Linked DNA regions of Xenopus tropicalis. The protein of the gene in region 3 purifies or fractionates together with the protein of the main gene of each other region. This does not show direct contact. Links are inferred from orthologs where the notes say so. Each region holds a gene or a part of one and is shown on either strand. Other genes may lie near its edges. The genes, in order: plcb3, kctd5, slc9a3r2, prkd1 and lpar2.

Evidence for each region.
Region 1: the proteins of slc9a3r2 (region 3) and plcb3 purify together in Homo sapiens (co-immunoprecipitation; 3 studies listed by BioGRID and IntAct, with this or other methods). This does not show direct contact. The link is inferred for Xenopus tropicalis from reciprocal best matches to the Homo sapiens genes NHERF2 and PLCB3.
Region 2: the proteins of slc9a3r2 (region 3) and kctd5 purify together in Homo sapiens (affinity purification with mass spectrometry; 3 studies listed by BioGRID and IntAct, with this or other methods). This does not show direct contact. The link is inferred for Xenopus tropicalis from reciprocal best matches to the Homo sapiens genes NHERF2 and KCTD5.
Region 4: the proteins of slc9a3r2 (region 3) and prkd1 purify together in Homo sapiens (affinity purification with mass spectrometry; 3 studies listed by BioGRID and IntAct, with this or other methods). This does not show direct contact. The link is inferred for Xenopus tropicalis from reciprocal best matches to the Homo sapiens genes NHERF2 and PRKD1.
Region 5: the proteins of slc9a3r2 (region 3) and lpar2 purify together in Homo sapiens (affinity purification with western blotting; 3 studies listed by BioGRID and IntAct, with this or other methods). This does not show direct contact. The link is inferred for Xenopus tropicalis from reciprocal best matches to the Homo sapiens genes NHERF2 and LPAR2.

Annotation. Positions count from the first base shown.
Region 1 is NC_030680.2:35,416,336-35,420,912, reverse strand, and holds the start of plcb3 (1-phosphatidylinositol 4,5-bisphosphate phosphodiesterase beta-3), read left to right. Parts: upstream 1-1,321; 5' UTR 1,322-1,639; coding exon 1,640-1,738; intron 1,739-4,577. UniProt on the Homo sapiens protein: Catalyzes the production of the second messenger molecules diacylglycerol (DAG) and inositol 1,4,5-trisphosphate (IP3).
Region 2 is NC_030685.2:28,815,629-28,819,770, reverse strand, and holds part of kctd5 (BTB/POZ domain-containing protein KCTD5), read left to right. Parts: intron 1-1,991; coding exon 1,992-2,117; intron 2,118-4,142. UniProt on the Homo sapiens protein: Its interaction with CUL3 suggests that it may act as a substrate adapter in some E3 ligase complex. Does not affect the function of Kv channel Kv2.1/KCNB1, Kv1.2/KCNA2, Kv4.2/KCND2 and Kv3.4/KCNC4.
Region 3 is NC_030685.2:18,846,152-18,850,293, forward strand, and holds part of slc9a3r2 (Na(+)/H(+) exchange regulatory cofactor NHE-RF2), read left to right. Parts: intron 1-1,247; coding exon 1,248-1,487; intron 1,488-4,142.
Region 4 is NC_030684.2:112,884,609-112,888,750, forward strand, and holds part of prkd1 (serine/threonine-protein kinase D1), read right to left. Parts: intron 2,154-4,142; coding exon 1,865-2,153; intron 1,745-1,864; coding exon 1,573-1,744; intron 976-1,572; coding exon 852-975; intron 1-851.
Region 5 is NC_030679.2:135,175,673-135,180,324, reverse strand, and holds the start of lpar2 (lysophosphatidic acid receptor 2), read right to left. Parts: upstream 3,109-4,652; 5' UTR 2,985-3,108; intron 2,536-2,984; exon of another isoform or gene 2,409-2,535; intron 1-2,408. UniProt on the Homo sapiens protein: Receptor for lysophosphatidic acid (LPA), a mediator of diverse cellular activities. Seems to be coupled to the G(i)/G(o), G(12)/G(13), and G(q) families of heteromeric G proteins. Plays a key role in phospholipase C-beta (PLC-beta) signaling pathway.

The DNA.
Region 1 (4,577 bases), on a different chromosome or scaffold from region 3:
AGGTACCATGCAGGGTGACAGAGGGGGTACACATTATATTGCCAATATAGGTTGGTAGGTACCATGCAGGGTGACAGAGGGGGTACACATTATATTGCCAATATAGGTTGGTAGGTACCATGCAGGGTGACAGAGGGGTACACATAACATTGCCAATATAGGTTGGTAGGTACCATGCAGGGTGACAGAGGGGTACACATTACATTGCCAATATAGGTTAGTAGGTACCATGCAGGGTGACAGAGGGGTACACATTATATTGCCAATATAGGTTGGTAGGTACCATGCAGGGTGACAGAGGGGTACACATTACCTTGCATTGCCAATATAGGTTGGTAGGTACCATGCAGGGTGACAGAGGGGTACACATTACCTTGCATTGCCAATATAGGTTGGTAGGTACCATGCAGGGTGACAGAGGGGTACACATTACATTGCCAATATAGGTTGGTAGGTACCATGCAGGGTGACAGAGGGGTACACATTATATTGCCAATATAGGTTGGTAGGTACCATGCAGGGTGACAGAGGGGTACACATTATATTGCCAATATAGGTTGATAGGTACCATGCAGGGTGACAGAGGGGTACACATTATATTGCCAATATAGGTTGGTAGGTACCATGCAGGGTGACAGAGGGGTACACATTATATTGCCAATATAGGTTGGTAGGTACCATGCAGGGTGACAGAGGGGGTACACATTATATTGCCAATATAGGTTGGTAGGTACCATGCAGGGTGACAGAGGGGGTACACATTATATTGCCAATATAGGTTGGTAGGTACCATGCAGGGTGACAGAGGGGGTACACATTACATTGCCAATATAGGTTGGTAGGTACCATGCAGGGTGACAGAGGGGTACACATTACATTGCCAATATAGGTTGGTAGGTACCATGCAGGGTGACAGAGGGGTACACATTACATTGCCAATATAGGTTGGTAGGCACCATGCAGGGTGACAGAGGGGTACACATTACATTGCCAATATAGGTTTGTAGGTACCATGCAGGGTGACAGAGGGGGGTACACATTACATTGCCAATATAGGTTGGTAGGTACCATGCAGGGTGACAGAGGGGGGTACACATTACATTGCCAATATAGGTTGGTAGGTACCATGCAGGGTGACAGAGGGGGGTACACATTACATTGCCAATATAGGTTGGTAGGTGTGGGGCTAGGGCGGGGGGCGTGTCCCGGGAGTGCGTAGGTAAGGAGATGGTATGTGAGGAATGTGACAGGGCTGGATGCCGCCCCAGTCACTAGGCTTTATACAGGTGCGATAAGGAGAGGTGACTCGGTAGAGAGGCGCAAAAACTCAGCGCCTAGGAGCTGTATGTAACGGGACTCGGTTAGGGGCTGACAAGTTCATTTCGGGAGGGGGTAGCTGGGCGTTTCTTCCTTACAGCCCTGGGCGCTCCTTACTCCGTTCTCCTCATCCCGCTTTACTATCCCTCCCTTCCCCTCATTTAGCCGCCCATTCAGTCTCTCCTCCCTCACTGCCCTCCCCTTCTCACTCTCCTAGTTTCTCTCCACCCCCTCAGTCAGTCCCTGCTTCTCTCTCGCTGCTGCCTCCTCCTCTTCCTCGTTATTTTGCCCCCCTAGTTGCCCCCTGCCCTGTTCCCCAAACATGGCGGGGGCACGGCCAGGGGTTCACTCTCTTCAGCTGGAACCAGTCAAAGTGCCGGAGACTCTTATAAAAGGGAGCAAGTTCATCAAGTGGGATGAGGTGAGACGAGGGGAAAAGTTCTAAACTGGAGAGGGGGCTACTTACTGTGTACTGGCGGCTGCTGGGGATACACGGCTCAGTGACTCCCACTGACAAGAGATGGGCGCCGGCATTCTAGATTTCTTAGAGCTCTGTGGGATTTTGTAAGAGAGTGCTTGCAGTGCCTGCTGGGTAAAACATGTCTAGAGACTGGGCAGAATTTGCCTAGAGGGTCTTGCTGATCGCGTAACTTAACCTAGGGGCTTCTGGGTATCTGCTGGCTGATACATGTTCAGAAGCTGCTGAATATGAAAATATTTATTGGGGTTCAGGGTATCTGCTGGGAAATTCTTTGGGTATCTGTTGGCAAATACAAGTCCAAAGGGTTGTGTTGGGCAGTGTTTGTACAAAGGCTGCTGAGTACAACTTGGTACCTGGTTACCTGCAAACAGTATAATTCACATGCTGTCAGGTATCTAGAGGATAGCACTGTTTCAGAGGGGTGTGGGTATCTGCCAGGCGAATCTTGTTCAATGGCTCCTGGGTATCAATGTAGTACTTGCTTAGAGGCTGCTGGGTATCAGGGCAGTACTGGGGTATTTCCTAGGTAATACTTGCTCAGAGGGGGTTGCAGTACTTGTACAGGGTGTTCTTGGGATCTACAAGGCAGTACTTGTCCAGAGTATTCTGGGTATCTACAGGGCAGTACTTGTCCAGAGTATTCTGGGTATCTACAGGGCAGTACTTGTCCAGAGTATTCTGGGTATCTACAGGGCAGTACTTGTCCAGGGTATTCTGGGTATCTACAGGGCAGTACTTGTCCGGAGTATTCTGGGTATCTACAGGGCAGTACTTGTCCGGAGTATTCTGGGTATCTACAAGGCAGTACTTGTCCGGAGTATTCTGGGTATCTACAGGGCAGTACTTGTCCGGAGTATTCTGGGTATCTACAGGGCAGTACTTGTCCGGAGTATTCTGGGTATCTACAAGGCAGTACTTGTCCAGAGTATTCTGGGTATCTACAGGGCATTACTTGTCCGGAGTGTTTTGGGTATCTACAAGGCAGTACTTGTCCAGAGTATTCTGGGTATCTACAGGGCAGTACTTGTCCGGAGTATTCTGGGTATCTACAAGGCAGTACTTGTCCAGAGTATTCTGGGTATCTACAGGGCAGTACTTGTCCGGAGTATTCTGGGTATCTACAAGGCAGTACTTGTCCAGAGTATTCTGGGTATCTACAGGGCAGTACTTGTCCGGAGTATTCTGGGTATCTACAAGGCAGTACTTGTCCAGAGTATTCTGGGTATCTACAGGGCATTACTTGTCCGGAGTGTTTTGGGTATCTACAGGCAGTACTTGACAAAGTGCTCTGGGTATCTACAAGACAGTACTTGTCCAGAGTTTTCGGTGGTATCTACAAGGCAGTACTTGTCCAGAGTGTTCTTTGTATCTACAGGGCAGTGCTTTTCCAGAGTGTTCTGGGTATCTACAGGCTGTATTTGGCCACAGGGGTCTGGGTATCTACAAGGTAGTGCTTGGCCACAGGGGCTGGGTATCTACAAGGTAGTGCTTGGCCACAGGGGGCTGGGTATCTACAAGGTAGTACTTGTCCAGAGGCAGTACTTCTGCAGAGGAGTCTGAGTATCTATAGGCTGCCTGGTATCTGGAGGGCACTTCTGTTTAAGAGGATTGTGTATATCTGTCAGGTAGAACTTTGTTTATAAGCTGCCGGGTATCAGTGCAGTAGTGGTTTAGAGACTGCTGTGTATCATATTGCTGGGTATCTCCAGGTCAGCACTTGATTATAGATGGGTATCAGTAGGGTAATACTAAGGGGGTTATTTATCAAACATCAAGTGGGCATTTTTTTTCTCAGTTCGAGAACAATCTTGATGCAAATATATAAATATAAAAATAAATATATATATAAATATAAAATTGGGTAAGTAAAAGCTGAGTTTCTATAGAAGTCACTAGGAATCATCTCTAACAACTAACAATTTGTCAGCTTTATTGAAAATTAATGAAACAATGTGATTCTCTTTTGTGTGCAAAGTCAAGAAAAAACATTTGTGCGCTTTTTTTATGCAATTGCTTTTTTTTTCTTCACCTCAAAGATTAGTAAATAGACCTCTAAATAGCTATACATTTTTAGGTGAAATAAATTGGTAACTTACTGCTGGATAGCTCCAAGACAATACTTGTTGAGATGCTAAGGGGCAATTCTCAGAAGTAGAGGGAACCTTTTTTTGGAGTTAAAGTGGTGGCTAAACTGGTGTGAAATACTTTTTCCATACTCACAAACAGAAATCCACCTCAATTGCGACTCAATGGCCACTTTTCAGTCTTTGCTCTAAAGAAGGTACAGACAATCAAAGGAGTACTAGAAGAAAAATAAATTCCCCAGTACAAAGAGTGACTGTCGTTTTACAGAACATTTTTCCTCACACCTCACTACATTACAAACTGTACTGCTATACACCGTTTTACAAATATCCTTCAGGCATAAGTAAATACATTTTATTCTGTTGAAACAACAGTTTTTTCAAGTAGCCCATGTAGGTTCTTGTATAGTATAACCTAATTCCTAGCTAGCGATGGCTTTCAGACTTTTCAGGGTTTTTTGTTTTTTTTTAAAATTGGTTCAAACCCAGTTTGAGGCAAGATTTTGGTCAGGTCATGACTAGGTTACAGACAAACTAAAATATTGCTGTGTCAGCCATTCAACTATAGTCACTAAAATATCTAGGGGCAGCTAGTGCTTACTACAAACATTACCTGTGGTGATAATCTACATGCCCTTACTCGGCCTATCACATGCCCTTCCCCTGAATGTGAGTGACGTGAGACATTTAGTACC
Region 2 (4,142 bases), about 10 Mb from region 3:
CATTAACTGCACAGAAATGTATTGCAACCATGTAAACACCTCTCTCAGGCATTGTAGGTTGTTTGAATATGTTGGGTTCCACAGGTGGGATCATCCGTAAGATTTTATGGTCATTTCAAAAAGGGGGTTAGAGGAGTGTCCAACAATACATAATTGTGTCCTGCACAAACTACACATTGAGGCTTATTTGCTAGCACTGGGCAGTAACCCATACATACCAACTCGGGTAGGGGAATGGAAGCAAAAATAATTGGTTAGTATGGGTTGCTACCCAGTGTTGATAAGCAAGCCCCACAGTTTATATTCTTTATAAGGTCCATTGACTTCAATGTGTTTTGCAAACCTTTGCAGTTGAGAATTTTTCAGCAAAACAACATGGTGGTGGTTGTCAACCAACCAATTCTAGTGGTGCTGAGGCTGACAGGGTTTTGAAGGAAAGAGTTATGCTGTTGTGCAGAAAGGAGATGCTGAGAGGACAAGGATGCTGTTTGTTTATAGCAGAAGTTAATGGAGCAATCTGCCAAAGTTGCTTTCAGAGCGCATTGCTGGCCGGACAATGCTTAGTGCTGTATTGTGTGTGCTGTCCAGCCGGCAAGTCTCATTGAAACCTACATTGGCAGCATATTTCATTAAGTTCTGCTATAAACACAGCAGCTCTGTCTTCTCCGCATCTCTCTATAAAGGAGGAGTATTGTTATATGCAAGAGGGCAAGTTAACCCTTTTTCAAAAGCTTTACGTTCAGCAGTGCTTTAATATTACACTGCAGTCAGAACGTTGGTGTCCTGTCTTGATATAGCACCTTCAGCCATGGATGCTCAAAGTACTTAGAAATGAAACTGATGTGGTGGCATTACAATGTTGAGAACATTTTGTAAAAAAATCTCATACAATGAATATGGAGCTGTTCGATCAGAAGCTACATTGAGCACACATGTTCTACCAGTGTGTGCTTACAGTTCCATAAGGTCACAATTCTTTATATGGCTTTTTTTATTTACTTAAGTACAACAATGTCTTTCCTTGCAGTGAAGTTAAATTTATAATGTAGTGTGTAGTTTAGTGACCTTGATGCAATAACTGCACTACAAGTAGACCCCACATTGGTAGTCTGGCCTCACACAGTTACTAGAATTACTGATGGTTTGGCAAGTCATTCTGCTGACAGCTATAGCGCATATCTTTGTCCTGCAGACGTGCACAGAGTCATTTTTCTTCCGGGTGTTGGCATGTACTGGCCTGCACACACACAACCACTGTAAAGTCTCTAAGTATATGTCATAAATTGCCATTATTATAAGCCACTTTCACATAAAATGAAAGCTATTTGGTTCGGTGGATTTCTGTCTAGTTTTCAGAATGTTGAAAAGCAAGCAGAAGGATTTAAATTTAAGTTTTTGTAAACTGGGCACTAAGTTTGCCCAGGAGCAGTAACCCATAGCAACCAATAAGATGTTTGCTTTTCAACAGGTGACCAGTTAATGCTGCCTGCTGATTGGTTGCTAGGGGTTATTGCTCCTGGGTAAACTTAGGGGCATATTTATTATTCGCCACACATCACCGTGTAAAATCGGCGTAATTGTTTTATGCGTTTTTTTCTTCCACCGAAACTTATGGAAAATAACTGCTTAATATCCGGCGTTCAGATGGCGATCTTTTCCATTTATTTTACACAGCTTTTTACTCCGTTTTTTTCGGTGAATTAGTTTTACACAGCATAATAAATACGCCCCTTAGTGTCTTTTTATTACATAATACATATTACATAAGGGCATGAATACATGCTAGGTTACATTTTTTCCTGTCAAGTGATTAGTCAGGGAACACGTGTCACAAAATGGTTGCTCTGGTTTAAAAGTATAAGGGAGCTGTGTTTACTGATGTATGCCAGTTTGCCAAGATTCTTTTAATATGTCCCTTCTGATACAGTATATAATCTGTTGGGGTACATCCTCCTGTCCATTATCCTAATATTTTCTCCCTCCTTTTTAAGTTGGTCAGTATTGGCTCCTCCTACAACTATGGAAACGAAGATCAGGCAGAGTTTTTGTGTGTTGTGTCGAAAGAGTTACAAAACACCCAATATGGCACAACTAGCGAGCCAAGCGAAAAAGCAAAGGTATGTTTTCTGACATGTGGATATTTTTTTTTTTTTTTTTAAATGATTTTTAGAATATGTAAATACTGTCCTGCACACAGGAAATCTGAAACATGCCCCTTCCTTTTGCCTTGTTACATTTTTGCTTTGCAGATGTGCTCCATTCAAGTGTTAATTGTTACAGCAAGGTCTGAGAAAAGCAGATCTATGCTACGTGTGACTTTGCCTTTTAGTTTCCCTATTACCGATTGTTACTAGTTGTTGCAAATGCAGATACTAGTTTTAATGTTTTTTTTAAAAAAAAGTAAGTTATGGATATAAATAATTTTAATAAGAATAATACCAGAACCAGAAAAATATTTTGAAACTCACTGGTATTTACACTATTTTAAGTGGATTGTTAACCTCCAGTGTAGGCACGCACTTATATTTCCTGGAATGAATACAGTGTGAAGGGTTTAGTAGCCTTTGCTTGTACAGCATTAAAATATGCTTTACTAACAGATAAGTCCTAGCCCAGAAAGAATGAACATTAAGGTTTTAAGCTTTGGAGTGGAAGTCTCCAGATAATTTGTTTGTACAGGCCTCCCTGTCTGACCTGTACATTCTTCAGGATTGTAAGGAGCCTCCACACCCAACAAAAATCCACTTAACTCTGGGAGTGTTTAATAAGTGTACCTGCTGCCCTGATGCCTGAAGTTGCATGGATAATTATTTGGCATGTGTCCTTCAAGTTGTGCCTGAACCCCAGAAGCATTGAATCTGCCCAGGTGCAGGCACATGCAGCTGATATTCACAAACGCTTGTATTTGTTGGTGGATATCTGATTAAATGCTTCAGAGTGCAGGCACAACAATGATTTTTTGGGGAAGTGTAGGGTGTATTGTTGGCCTGCATTTATCTGCAGGCTGACAATAAGCCCTGTGTGCACTTGTCCTTAGGTTAATGCCACACGTGGCAGATTCTCGGCCTGGATTTTGACTCTGAAATGCATTAGTATGCATTTCACAGTGAAATTGATTCTGTATGCATGCATGCACCTAGGCCAACACAGTGGCTCTGGGTGCAGACACAGAAAAGCGCTGATTCAAGCGTAAGGGTGTATTCTCAACCTGTGTTTATCTGTAAGTCGAGAATCTGCCATGTGTTACATTAACCAGCGTACAACTGCACAATTCCTTCACAATTTTTAGCTATACAGGTGAGGTTCAGGCAATAATTGAGCTTTCAGAGATAGTCACCAGTGCATTCACAGCTCAGAGATTATCATTAAAGTGTATGGTGGGGCATGTGTCAGTATTTTGTTCCTAAATCAGTTTTCCTTAACTGATCACCCTTATTCTGAAATGCAAAATACGGTTTAGCTGCTAAAGATCCTGTCTGTCTAATCTGTTTGGGCAACAGCCAGTTTATAGGATTATGGCCTGTAATGTACATGTGACTCTGTGTATAGCCAGCTTATCAAAGGCCCTGCCAGTGGCACTAATCTTTAGTATTACAGGTATGGGACCTGTTATCCAGGTATGGGACAGTTTTTTGGATAAGGGATCATTTCATAATTTGGATCTCCATAAATCTAATTACAAAAAATCACTTACACATTAAATAAACCCAATAGGATTGTTTTGCCACCAATAAGGATAAACTATCATTAAGTACAAGGTACCACTCATCACAGAGAAAAAGGAAATTATTTTTAGAAACATGAATTCAACTTTCAGGTTAAACCTGTATTCTCCTAAAACAGGGTATCTACACCACCTTAATGTCTGCCAGTAATCAGTCATGTTTATTTTTATGCACTTAAATGGTCTTTGTTCTCTTGCATCGGACACTTTCTACCTTGGAAGCCACCAGTATTCTGAAAATTTGTCATTCTTAATATGCTTTCTGTTGACCATATAGTTTTAGATGAGAAGGGCGGACAGGGCTATATAGGTGCTACTCTACATTGCATGTAGGCACTTGTCTGGAAATATGCTAGTGCTTCTTAAACTACACATTGAGGGTAGGCTATGCCTCTTTATACATTTCTATACATTTCTT
Region 3 (4,142 bases):
GTATCTTAGCTTTCACTAATTCAATTAACTTGTGGTGCACAAAATGATGATTAAGTAGAGGCTGTTCATCCAGAACAGTGCTGTCCAACTTCTGTTGTACTGAGGGCCGGAATTTTTCCGACCTACGTGGTGGAGGGCCGATAATGGAAGCCAGTTTTGACCACTCCCCTTTTTGAAACCGCACCCACTTGAAACCACACCCATGTTATCACATGACCATACCCATATTAATGGTTGTAGTACAGCAAAAACCTGCCATACTCTGCCTGCCCTACCCTGCCTGTGTGTGCCATACTCTGCCTGCCCTACCCTGCCTTTGTGTGTGCCATACTCTGCCTTCCCTACCCTGCCTGCGTGTGCCATACTTTCACTGTGTGTGCCATTCTTGGCCTGTGTGTGCCATACTCTGCCTGCCCTACTCTGCCTGTGTGTGCCATACTCTGCCTTCCCTACCCTGCCTGTGTGTGCCATACTCTGCTTGCCCTACTCTGCCTGTGTGGGCCATACTCTGCCTGCCCTACTCTGCCTGTGTGTGCCATACTCTGCCTTCCCTACCCTGCCTGTGTGTGCCATACTCTGCTTGCCCTATGCTCACACACAGGCAGCCTACAGTGACACAATGCTGGCACTGCTCCTACAGTCTGCACAATAACTATATATTAAAAAACTTTTTAATTGCAGTACCACCTCAGTATATGTTCTTTTTGTAGTATGCAGGGATTATTTGTGGGTTTCTACTGCTCCTGAGGTGTGAAGAAGTGAACAATGGGAGTGATTACAGCCTGAGCCTGAGGTGTGAACACTGCAGGGGGTAGAACAATGCAGAGATTAAAAGGTGTGAACAACACAGGGGATTACATATTTAAACAATACAGCCTGATTACAGCCTGAATCTGAGGTGAGAACCATGCAGGGGGGGGGCAGTTAATCACAGTACTGATACCATTTAAAGCTTACACAAAGGTAAGCCATCAAAGCAGCCAGACAGGTGGGGGGCCACACAGAGGGGGGTCACGGGCCGCATGCGGCCCGCGGGCCGCCAGTTGGACAGCACTGATCCAGAAGGTTTGGGGCAGTTGAACATTCTAAATTACCTTGGGTTAAGGGAGTGCCATAAATAAACTTTAACTACCCAGAAGCTGTAAATGTATCCAGCACCCAGTTTGGTGCATATTTTGCATAGTGTCAGTTCCCCTTTAAGAGCTGCTCCGTGAGTATCTGACTTCTGCTTTCTCTCCCCGCGGCAGGTGGTTCAGCGCATTAAAGCAATAGAAAACGAAACGCGGTTGCTGGTGGTGGACAGAGAAACTGATGAGTACCTGAAAAAATCCCCACCCGGCTCACCTACTGAATCCCAACCCAACTCCAGCGCCCCCTCAACTCCGACTCCAGGGAGCAACAACAACGGCGAAGTATGGAAAACAAAGGAGGACACAAGCCATGAAGATCAGCTACACAATAACCACAGCACGGAGAACGGGAAACAGGTAGGTGAATTGTTATGGGGCACTGCCATTTTGGCTCTAAGCCATTGGTGGCATACAACTCCCAGCATTCTTATCAGGCCATGACGTTTAGGGCACACTAGAATTTGAATCAGTTGGCTATCCCAGGGACAATCATATTATATTAGGGGCCCTGTACAGACCCCACAGGAGACCTGGTGTGGTATTTCCTTGACTGAATTTTCAAACTTGCGGACTCCATCTTAAGTGGACAAACTAGCTGCTAATTTTAGCCAATGTAAGGCTACCTAAAATGCCGGCCACACAGAGAATGAGATGGTGTGACATTTTATAACCCATCAATGCTTTGTTTATGGATCTGACCACTGTTGAGTGACCACCATGCATTCTGATTGGATCAGAACAGGTTGCACCGTGCTGACACTGATGTCAGCTGATGCATTCGGAAGGCCATCAACAAATTGTAGTTGCCACCCACTTCCTGTGCTATCTTATTGGCTAATGAGCATAGCAGTACAGCAGTCCTATTCATTTTTGTGGTGACATTACACTCAAAATGAATGATTGACTCTGTAAAGGAACCAAATGATTGGATTGGGAGCTTCCAGCTTGTGACCAAGGCCTGAGGGGCCAAAGTGCGCCCCCATAGTACAGAGATCAAAACACACATATGGGGTCGCATATGCCAGATCAGTCGCAGTGCTGTATATTTTGGCAAGTCCTCATCATTTCAGTTGACTTTGTTTACTTTTCTCATTGTTCTGAAATCGTATAGTGGAACATCTGGCTAAAGGGGCCCCCTTTAACCCCTTCCTGGGAAGCAAATGTTTGTACCAATGGGGTAGCTGCAGCCGCTCTCTCTATCCCCGCTTTGGCATGTTGTTTGGAATATCCCAAGTGACCTGGAACATTTTATTTTGCTGGAGTCTGTTTCCTCTCACCAACCCCCCCAACCCTTCCCGCCGCCCCTTTTCCTGAATCACAGGACCACTCGGCCGGCTGCACTCATGTTGTTAAGGGTTGTCTGCGGAGCTCTTTATTAAATACTCTGCCTAGGGCTGTAAAATGTTACAGTGACAGAAAGCAGATCTGGGGAGGTGTGGGGGCAATGTAGGAGCATGTGACTCGGTCCCAGATGATGATTAAAAAAAAAAAGATCTTTAAAGTTTATTTTACTTGTTTTTTTTTCCTATATATCTTAGAAAGTGTATTTTTCCTTTTTGTAATTGGAGTCCTGGGGCAGGTTGGGTACCCAAGCATTACCTGCAAGAAAAGCAGGTACCCTGCGGGTTGCAGGTTGGATTCAGATGTGGATATAAATGGGGGTCGGATTTTGGATCTTATCCATATTTTTTGTCTGATATTATATTATTTATATTTTACCCCTTTTATATTGTGCAAAAACTGCAACTGTCTGCAGGGATGGACTATTGCATTGTGTGTAAACACATGGCAAGAAATGCCTGTCATGAAACCACACATGATACAGACGATAAAGGTGTTGCAAACTTTACAGCTTCTTGAGATTTCTGTAGCCGATAGCATCCCACCAACCACATGCTGCTCATAATCCGCTTTTTCCAATGCGGTTCCAAAATTTTGAAAACCTTCTAATCCTACACACGGATAAAAGCAGATAAGGCCGACCAGTTGGATCAGCCGGTGGGATGCAGTGTTTCTGTGTGTTTTCCCCTAATCCTCCCGCCTCCGTGGAGAACGGCATTACATCTGTTTGTGGCTATTGCTAAGCCGGCGTGTCTGAAGCAGTGATTATGTAGGCAAGGGGGGTTTAGAAGGTCCCAAAATTCCTTTACAGGCTTTTAAATTTTAATTTAGTGGAATTATTAATTCATTTACCAGTTTTGCAATCAGGCTGGTAGGTTTAAAGACTAAGGCTAATTTACTTAGGGGGGTTTGACCACCAGGGAATGGCTGTTTAAAATTCACCAACGTCAGTTTTTTCCATAAAGATATATGGGAAACACTGTTAAAGGTGAACTAAAAAATTGTACATGGCTAGAAATACTTTTATATACTGAACTTAATGTACCAGCCCAGAGGTTCAGCAGCCCTATAACAGTAATGATCAAAAGTTGTCCCCAGCAGCTCCCCATGTTCGATCTTGTTAGGCCATCTTTTAAATGTCAGTGGCACTGCACGTACTCAGTGTGCTCTGGACTGCTGTTGGGAAGCTCAGCTTAGGGGTCATGGGAAAGCACCAAAACATTAGCAGTGAGGTTACATCTGTCATGGAAGCTGATGCTACAGGGCTGATTATTAAATTCCACCTGAATTAATTACTAATTTGCCTTGTCTTGGGCTACTGTATGTGTGTGTGTATGTGTGTCACTTGAACTAAAGGTCCAGCATGCTTGATAAAGGGGTTGTTTTGCCTCGAAACGTTGCACTACCGCAATAAAGTTTGGAGTAAGGGCTTGTCCCGTTTGTAGCCTTGAGTGCCATTGCATTATTTGACAATTCTGGACTTTTGGAGGGTGCCGATCCCTTTGGCAGTGAGCACCGGGCGCTTAACTCATTCTGGACAGTTAAGGGCGTGCGATTAGCTGCCGAATCGATATCAGCAGCTACTATCGGCCCGTGTATGGGGACCTTTACAGAAATCCTGTGGGCCCCATCTCTAGTGGACCCCAGCACAGGATCTGCAGGGCAGGGCAT
Region 4 (4,142 bases), on a different chromosome or scaffold from region 3:
TAAAACAATCCTGGCCAAAGCAGGACCTATGCAATCTGTGGTATGCATGCAAGATTGGATGACTTGGTTATTTTGCTCCAGCATATTTAAAGTAAAAAAAAATAAACAATCATGACTCCTTTTATCTTTTAAGACTCCTGTAAATCTAAAGACAGAATGAAAATGACAAGTAAACCTGATCATTCACTGTCAGATTATCACCAGATTTGCCCAACAATGCAGCAAATCAAATCAGAATTATAATAGGGGCTTGGGTAGATACAGTGATAGATAACATCAGTGTGCCGATGTGGCCCTCACCAGAAAGGATTTTTTTTTTTACATTTTTGCAACTCGTTGGCGATGCTTTGACAGCATCAAAGGGATAGTTCACCTTTAATCTTTAGCATAATGAACACAATGCATCAAGTATGTGAAAGGCAGTAATACCGATCAATTAAGACTCATAATAATGTTTTGCCTTGTGACACATTGGTCACAAGAGGCCACTATCTCTACAGCGTTCATGGAGAATTTTGCAGCATAGCAGGTTTTGTACATATAAATAAACAAACATATGCATGTAAAAATGATAATGGGCAGACTATCCCATCCCAACATTTTTAGTGAACATATATTGTGTGAATGTAACCAGAGACATAAAGGCATAAAAGATCTGTATATTAAAGCAATTAGAAAAAGGGTAAACCACCCATGCAGTGGCTGGTGCCAAGGCAGTGCCTGGCCATATAAGAAGACAAGAGGAGGACTCTCATTTAATTTTGCTCCACTGGCCACAACATGTAACCCTCAGTCCTCCTGTGCAGAATGGAACGAGTACAGAGAAAATGGCACCCTCTCTCTTTTTTTACCATGGGATCTTTGCTGGTGTAATGTACCATCCAGCCTTCTTTCATAACACTGCTGCTTTTCCTCTTTGTGTGTTTGACCGACTGGACTACTCTCATCAATGGAATGTTGTTACTGGCTGAAGGGCTGAAAGAAAATAGATAAACTGTAAAATAAGACATAAAGCTAAGCATGCATTGCTAACATTAGTCTTTACAAATGCCATTAGTGTAAATATTTTGCTTAAAATCTTCATCCGTCAATGAATTTCTCTTTGATAGAGTGCTTCTTAATTAGAGAAGGCTTCTCAAATATTCCTACTGCTAGCTGATCTCCTGAATCATTATTCTCCAATAATCTTTAGTCAATGTGTCCATAAGTAAATGTTCTGGTCAAAGGACTTACTATGACCAGTACTGTTTTGGCTATACATGTGCATACTACAAAGCTTATGTTTTCCTAATTTGTAATCTTCAAACGCCTCAAATGATTTCAGGACTGACTCCACTAACTTTACTTTTTTATGCTAGACTGTCAAGCTCTCCTTGGAGGTCAAACCTCTGGTGAGGGCTCCCTTTCTTTCACCAAAAGGTTACAGATATTATAAGCCATTGGGGAATCAGCCCTTTAGATTGTTACACAATTGACCTTCAAGCTGGGCTTTCAGTTTTACAGTACTGTAAAACCCTTTCCTGGTGATATCTTCACGTATCTTGATGAACGTACTTGCTGCCTTAAAGTTACCTGATTGTCCGGTCCGATGCATCTTGATCCTGGTCTGGTTCCTGCATTTCTCCATTTTCACTACGGCAGCCTGATATGGAACCCTCTGAGTCTGTTGTGGGGGATTCATCCATGTCCTCAGGTCTACTTTCATTATCATCGCTCCCCTCCTCCATCATTACATCAGATAGGTCTTAAAAACAAAATTAAGGCAGACATGAAATATTAAGTACAATCACCTCAGCACAATATGCATGAAACAACACATTCACAGAGAACAAAGTAAAGGGAAAAAATAGCACGCCCAATTTACCTCCATTAATTGCGTCCTCCCCCAGGCAGTTGTGAGGCACTCTTGACGCGCAGCGCTTGTGACAATTGAACTTGCAGTCCTTGCACTGCAATCCCTGCCGAAAGAGGCCCTTTAGCAGTTTCTTGCAGTGCTGGCAAACAGTCGGCCGGGTGTACGAGTGGATAACAAATGTGTGAGGCACTTTCACCTTTGTCAGGAAGAACTTATCCAGTTTAATCGGGCGGCCAATATGTAACTGTGAGCCGGATCTACTATGTCGACCCAAAAAGGATTCTGATGGAGATTTTTGCTGTGGATTTAACACAGAAAGGTCAGAAAAGTGGTAGTACAATTCATTCCGTCCTAACTATACTGACAATATACCTTGTTTATCAATATAGTTACATAATACAGTTTATAATTAAGGTTTATTTTACTCCATAAAGGTTTAATTCTGAAATAAAGTATTCGGAAATTTAATGCTTTCCTCAAAGATGCGAATAGGAATACCAACAGGTTTTCTTGAAGGTGACAAGAATGACACAAGTAAAAGAATTTAGCACAAGTGCTTTACCCTCAAACTAAGCAAATCAAAACGGTCTTCACATGTAAAAACGGTACATGGGGTAATTTCATCACTGGTGTAATTGAGCCAGCACAGAAGCGAACAATAAACCACCCCTGACAATTCCCATTTGCTTTAATAGTAATTGCCTAACAGGGATCCCCAATGTTATTTTTACTTGTGAGCTACACTCAGATGTAAAAAATATTGGTGAACCACACAAAAATAAAAAATATTCTTTTGGGGATACCAAATAAGGGCTATTGGCTATTTGGTAGCCCTGTATGGGCTGCTGATCTGCAGGAGACTCTGCTTAGGGTAAAATGGCTTGTCTGAGCTTCCAAAACTTGTCTCCAAGCCAAAAACTAAATTATGGGCACCTACTTTGTGGCCACTGGGCGCAACATCAAAGTGAGAGGTGAGCAACATGTTACTCACAAGCCACTGGTTGGGAATCACTGCCCTAGAGCATCTTTCTCCTTGTGCAGTCAGGTGTTTTCCATTCAAATGGAATAGGGGGCAACAGGGGTGATTTTGTAAAGAGAAACCCTATAAGCCATCAACCTCATGTGGTTTATGAAGAAATTAAACAACCAGGACCTCCAAAAATATACAGGGAGGTTAACTGGATCCTGTTAAAACTGAACATAGTGTGTGAATGAATGTAAGAGAACCCTTAGACTGTAAGCTCCAGTGGGGCAGGGGGACCGAAGTAAATGATGTGTAATCTCTCTAAAGCTCCAGAATGCATCAGCACTATATAAATAAAAGAAGCTAATCATAAAAATCAAACTTGCTCATGTAGACCAACTCACATTCTAAGCACTCGCTAGCAGGCACATATTATAAATCAGTTTATACTGATATCCATGGGTCATGCCTTTGCCAAATAAGCCGAAACCTATCTGCTGGGACATGGAGCTGCAGTTGGAATACTTGTGGCAATGAGACAAAAGATAATTCCCAGAGTAAACAGACAGATGATATATACTGGAGGCCACATCATTGTTTCTGCTGTTACTATTATTGGTTTTACCCTTACATTTTCCCCACAAAGTGAAATAGGAACCGTAGCTAACGTGAAGGACAAAACAGGCAGTAAGATTGCTGGGTATTTTTTTTCCTGTGGCAGTCGAGTAATAAATGCTTTGATGATTCATGTTTAAGACCACGTGTGCATAAAAAGCTGCCTCATGGTGGCAGAATTTCCCATGTAGTTGCTGGTATAACACTGCCCTAGGCACCCCGGAGTGCTAACCCTAATAAAAACACTGCACTTCCCCACAGTCCCTCACACGGTGGCTCTGCTGGGTTGGAATAGAGGACCCTGGAGCCTTAAAACTTGATACTAAGTCTGAGCTGTGGGCCATTTCCAAGGGATTTCTGTTCCAAGCTGAGCTCTAGCTGGAATGGCTCCAGGAAATGATTGCTAAAACCAGATTACATGATGGAAACTGCAGCTGATGGGAAGCTCAGTGCAAAGGTGCCATAACCCATTCAGTGCTGAGAAAGTGCGGAACGAATCTACTGATTGGCCACAAGCAGTGAAGCACGATTTGAGTGAATAAACTATAATACTATCAAAATTAAAGTAAGGGGTTTATTTGATTAATTAAGCCTTACACGCCAGATATGTTTTAAATGATTATTATGCAAACTGTATAAAGCAGGGGTTAAGAAAGTGAGTGCAATGCAAAAAGACAGGAGGGGTAAGGGGTGCAGAAGTGTGCACAT
Region 5 (4,652 bases), on a different chromosome or scaffold from region 3:
TCCAGCAAATTGTGTTAAGTGACTCAAAAGACCTGGCCCCTACCAATGCAAAACACACAGACGTAAAAGCATTCTCAATACACAAAAGCAACACACGGATTCCTGTGTGTACTTTCCCTCTGTCATTTTGCATTAAATTCTGTTTTTTCAAGATAATGTCCACTTGTTTGCTTCCTTAACTCATTCATTCTTCTAATTAACTCTATTAAGGGCCCTGTGCCCTTTACAATAGAATACCAGTTTCTTGCAGATTGCCCTAATCTGAGCAGCCTCAGATAAAGAAGAAAAAAAAAATACGTCTGGAAACCAAGACATAAAATCTGATTACACTTTTTTTGTTTAACAGGAAGAAAGAACATTTATATGCAATAGATAAAGATTAGAATTTTTTGAACATGAACAAAAAGAAAATGCATATTAACAGACATTCTCACACAGGCACTGTGGCGCAATTCAGCCCCCTGCCCACACAAACACAGCAGAACCTATAAAATTCTGCCTGGTGATACAGTGTAAAACAGAAACAAAAGTCAAATTTTAATCATTTTTCTCACGTTCCGTAAAGTTTCACATTAGAACCAGAGAATGTCAGGACTTGTTCGGCCTTAGGCCCCCGGCACAGCTATATTTGGCCCCATGATGTGTCTATTCACATACAAGCTGCACCCTGGTTTGATGTGAGCAGCGTCACACATTTTATATTATTTCTTTATGAATGACTGATGTGGGAACTGGGTGGCCACATGGGATCCTGGGCTCAACCCTACTTGTATGTGACCAACCACATTAGCCAGATCTGGCTGAAGTTACCTGTTGCACCTTCTAATGCCAATGCACTTAACAGCCACACTGACTTGACTGATTTCCAACTTTTCCAACTATTACCCAAATACAGGACCAACACTGGGTTTTAGCAAATAGAAAAATCCAACATCCAAATCAGGGCCACTCCAAACAATAGCTTTTCATTTACAGCTGGACTACAACTCCCAGAACCCCCTTGAAACCACTGCCTGGGAGTTTTAGCAACTGCTGCAGATCCTGCAATAGTTTAAATTAGGTGTACAGGAGCCCTGCAGGCACCATTCTTCTGAACGTTACTACTTACATTTAAATGGTCAGTCATTACCAACCCTGCTGTGCTGCCTAGCAGGGCCGGAACTAGGGGTAGGCAGAAGATTTAGGGGCGCCAGGCAGGAGCCTCTCCTGCCTACCCCTAGTGCTAATTTGTCATTAGCGGCGGAGGCAATGACCGATCTAACCGCCGGAGTTGGCCGACCGGGTTGCCTAGGGCGCCCGGTCGGCTTGGCCCGCCCCTGCTGCCTAGTATAGTCTGGCACAGGGAAGCAGGCTGTACTGGTCAGTATGGGTGGTGTGGTTTAGATTTATATTATATATAAATATAACTTGTCCTTTAAAGCACATGAATGTATTGCAGCTTGCGAACACCTGATACCTAGCTGAGCCGTCTATCATTAATATGAATGGAAACCACACATTCCTCTCTTCTCAATGACAGGAGGCACAGAGGTAGCAGATGTTTCTCCACAACTGAAACAGACTGGCAGGGAAACATTACACGTGCCATAGTCCATAAGATTCAGAAAACCCTAAAATTCACAGAGTATTCCCCCCCCCCACAACACAGATCTGCTCAGAATGCCCCAGGATGCGGGCAGTAATCCCATCTACCCTGGCTGGACATGATCAGTCCATGTTGATTAGCCAGTTTATATTAGTTGTATACACCCTGCATATCTAACAAAGACAAATGTTGTGTATAGACGTTTGTCTGTAGGTTTTGGCACATGAAACTGAGGAAGTGGTAAAGAAACTGTATTTATAGGGCTATAGGTTTGTTTCTGCCTGCTGTGCACATTTCTAAGCCTAGTCTCGAACTGTATATCTCATTGCGTGCTGCCGCACAGCTCTGCACTTTCACTAAAACTCAAAGCCCCTTCCAATGCTGGCTGTGCAACAGATTCACTATATATATAATACTTGTAACCAAAAGTGCACTGTACAGGGAATGATGTACCCCCTGCTGTAAAATATAAGGATACTAGAAGTCACTAAGGAATCCCATCACAAGACGTGACCCCCAAGGTGACTCCTAACATGCTCATATTTTACAATAGAAGGTGCACTTTTATAATATACCATTTTCAATGATGAGGCATGTGACATCACTGATATAGCACTGACAACTGATGACCTCACTAAGTACCATTTAAAAGGATATGTTAGCTATTGCTGTGCCAATGATAAAAAACAGACAAGGAGACAAACAAAAAATCAATATCTAGATATAAAAGGTTTGTGTAAAGCTATTCTATTGCCATTAGGGTTGTACATTGCTGAACTACACTCTGCACATGGAATATTCATACAGAGCCCCAGGCACTTACCTATGTAGATGGAGCTGGTCAGGTCTGGCTCACCCTGGTTACAGTATGGCCAGCAGCATTGATACTACTTGTTTTCTCTTTTGTTTCCGTTCTGCTGCGCCTTGCGATTTCCCTTCAACAAGCCCTGCCATACTGATTCTTCTCAGCCTCCCCCCCCACCACCTCAGAGGGACACTCAGGATACTGCCCCCCTTATATGATTCTGCCCCCACTCAATTCATCCCTATATATATATATATATATATATATATATATACTGCCCCCCTTATATGATTCTGCCCCCACTCAATTCATCCCTATATATATATATATATATATATACTGCCCCCCTTATATGATTCTGCCCCCACTCAATTCATCCCTATATATATATATATATATATATATATATACTGCCCCCCTTATATGATTCTGCCCCAACTCAATTCATCCCTATATATTATACTGCCCCCCTCTGTCGCTAGGAATGCACAGTGCCCCTCCGCATTTACATTCCGGGATCCCGGGCGAAACTCTCCGCAGTTTCTGTTCAGTAAGTCCCGCACCCCTGTCCCAGGGCTCCCAATGGCTCCTTACCTCCAATGTTACAGCGCAGCCTCCTGTCCCCTCTCTCCCTCCATCAGAGAGCGCAACATGGGCCCCTTGGGAGAGACACAGCCTTTCCCCTGAGACAAGTCCCAGCCCGCCTAACCCGCTCCGGCAGCCAAATACCAGGCACAGTGAGAGAGGGTTTGGGGGCGGGGGGCGGAGCAAAGCTGCCACAGCCAAACACCTCTGCGCAAGGTGTAACAGTGGGGAGGGGCCTCGGTAAGGTGTGTCACCAGGGGGCGTGGCCTTGCTGCACGACTGGCTCTCAAACGGCTTAGCGTTAACTCCTTTTTCCTCAGGACGCAGTAGAGAGGAGCCAAGTTATTCATTCCCTTCAACAGTGTCGGACTGGGACCCCAGGAGCCCACCAAAAAACCTTAGGCAATAGGCCAACTTTTTAAACTATCTTTTCTGCTTTCTAACTTCTTTATTCTCCTAGTTTCTTACTTACGCTTATACTGTAGTGTCACCCACTGTGACCTACAGCACTTACATTTGCCTATTTGTGTCTGTTAGTTACCCTCCCATATAGATTGTAAGCTCTACGGGGCGGGGACCTCCTTCCTCTTGTGTCTTTGACTCTTTTAACTTATTGCAACTGTATCTTGTATTTATCTGTATTTATTGTTATACTTTGTATTTATCTATTATTATCTTAATAACCCCCTGTTTGTATTAATGTATTCTACTGTACAGCGCTGCGTACATAAGTAGCGGTTTATAAATAAAGATATACATACATACATACTAGCTATTCTTCCATCTATTTCTCCTCTTCCTTCCCATTCAGAAATAGGGAATGAGCATGAACAGGGTCGGACTGGGCCGCCGGGACACCGGGAAAAATCCCGGTGGGCCCCGGCCCTAGTGGGCCCCAGCGGCCCAGTCCGACCTTTGCCGGCGCTCCCCGCTACTGACTGTTCCTCCCCGACGCGTTCAATTTATACGCGCTCGGGGAGGACGTCAGGCGGGGGCCCTTCGGGGGGGTTAGGGGGGACCTTGGGGGGGTTAGGGGACGCGGCTGGGGCACCTGCAGGGCCCCTGGGGCGGGAGCCCCGGTGGGCCCTGCACCCCCCAGTCCGACCCTGAGCATGAAACAGGCCAAATGGTCAGGAGCAGGAGGGCCCACTTACACCTGCGCCCACGGGGCATTTTCCTGGTATCCTGGTGGCCCAGTCCGACTTCAATAAACATTTTCTGCCCACAGGCAGGGTCGGACGGGGGGGTGACGGGTCAGACGGGGGGGTGCAGGTGCCCCCCCCATTGGCCTCGGCCCCTAACCTCTCCTGCCTAAGGTACCCCCTAACCCCCCGCAGGGTCCCCCCTGAGCGCGCGTAAGTTTAACTCGCCAAGGGAGGAATGGTCGGGCAGGGGGAGCGCCTGCAAGCGTCAGGTCTGGCCACCGGGGCCCACTATGTACTGTGGGGGCACAGAAATTAGTGTGCACAACCAGGAGCCTGAGAGTTTAAGGAGACCCTTTAATAAATAAATTTTAAAAAAAAGTTACAGTATGGACTAAGGAGACCCTTTAATAAATAAAAAAAAAAAAAAAGTTACAGTATGGACTAAAATTCACCAGATCCTTTACTGCAAAACAATGTCAAATTGAAGAGAAAACAGAAAGTATCATTCTAAGCAACCTTATTGCTGACATTC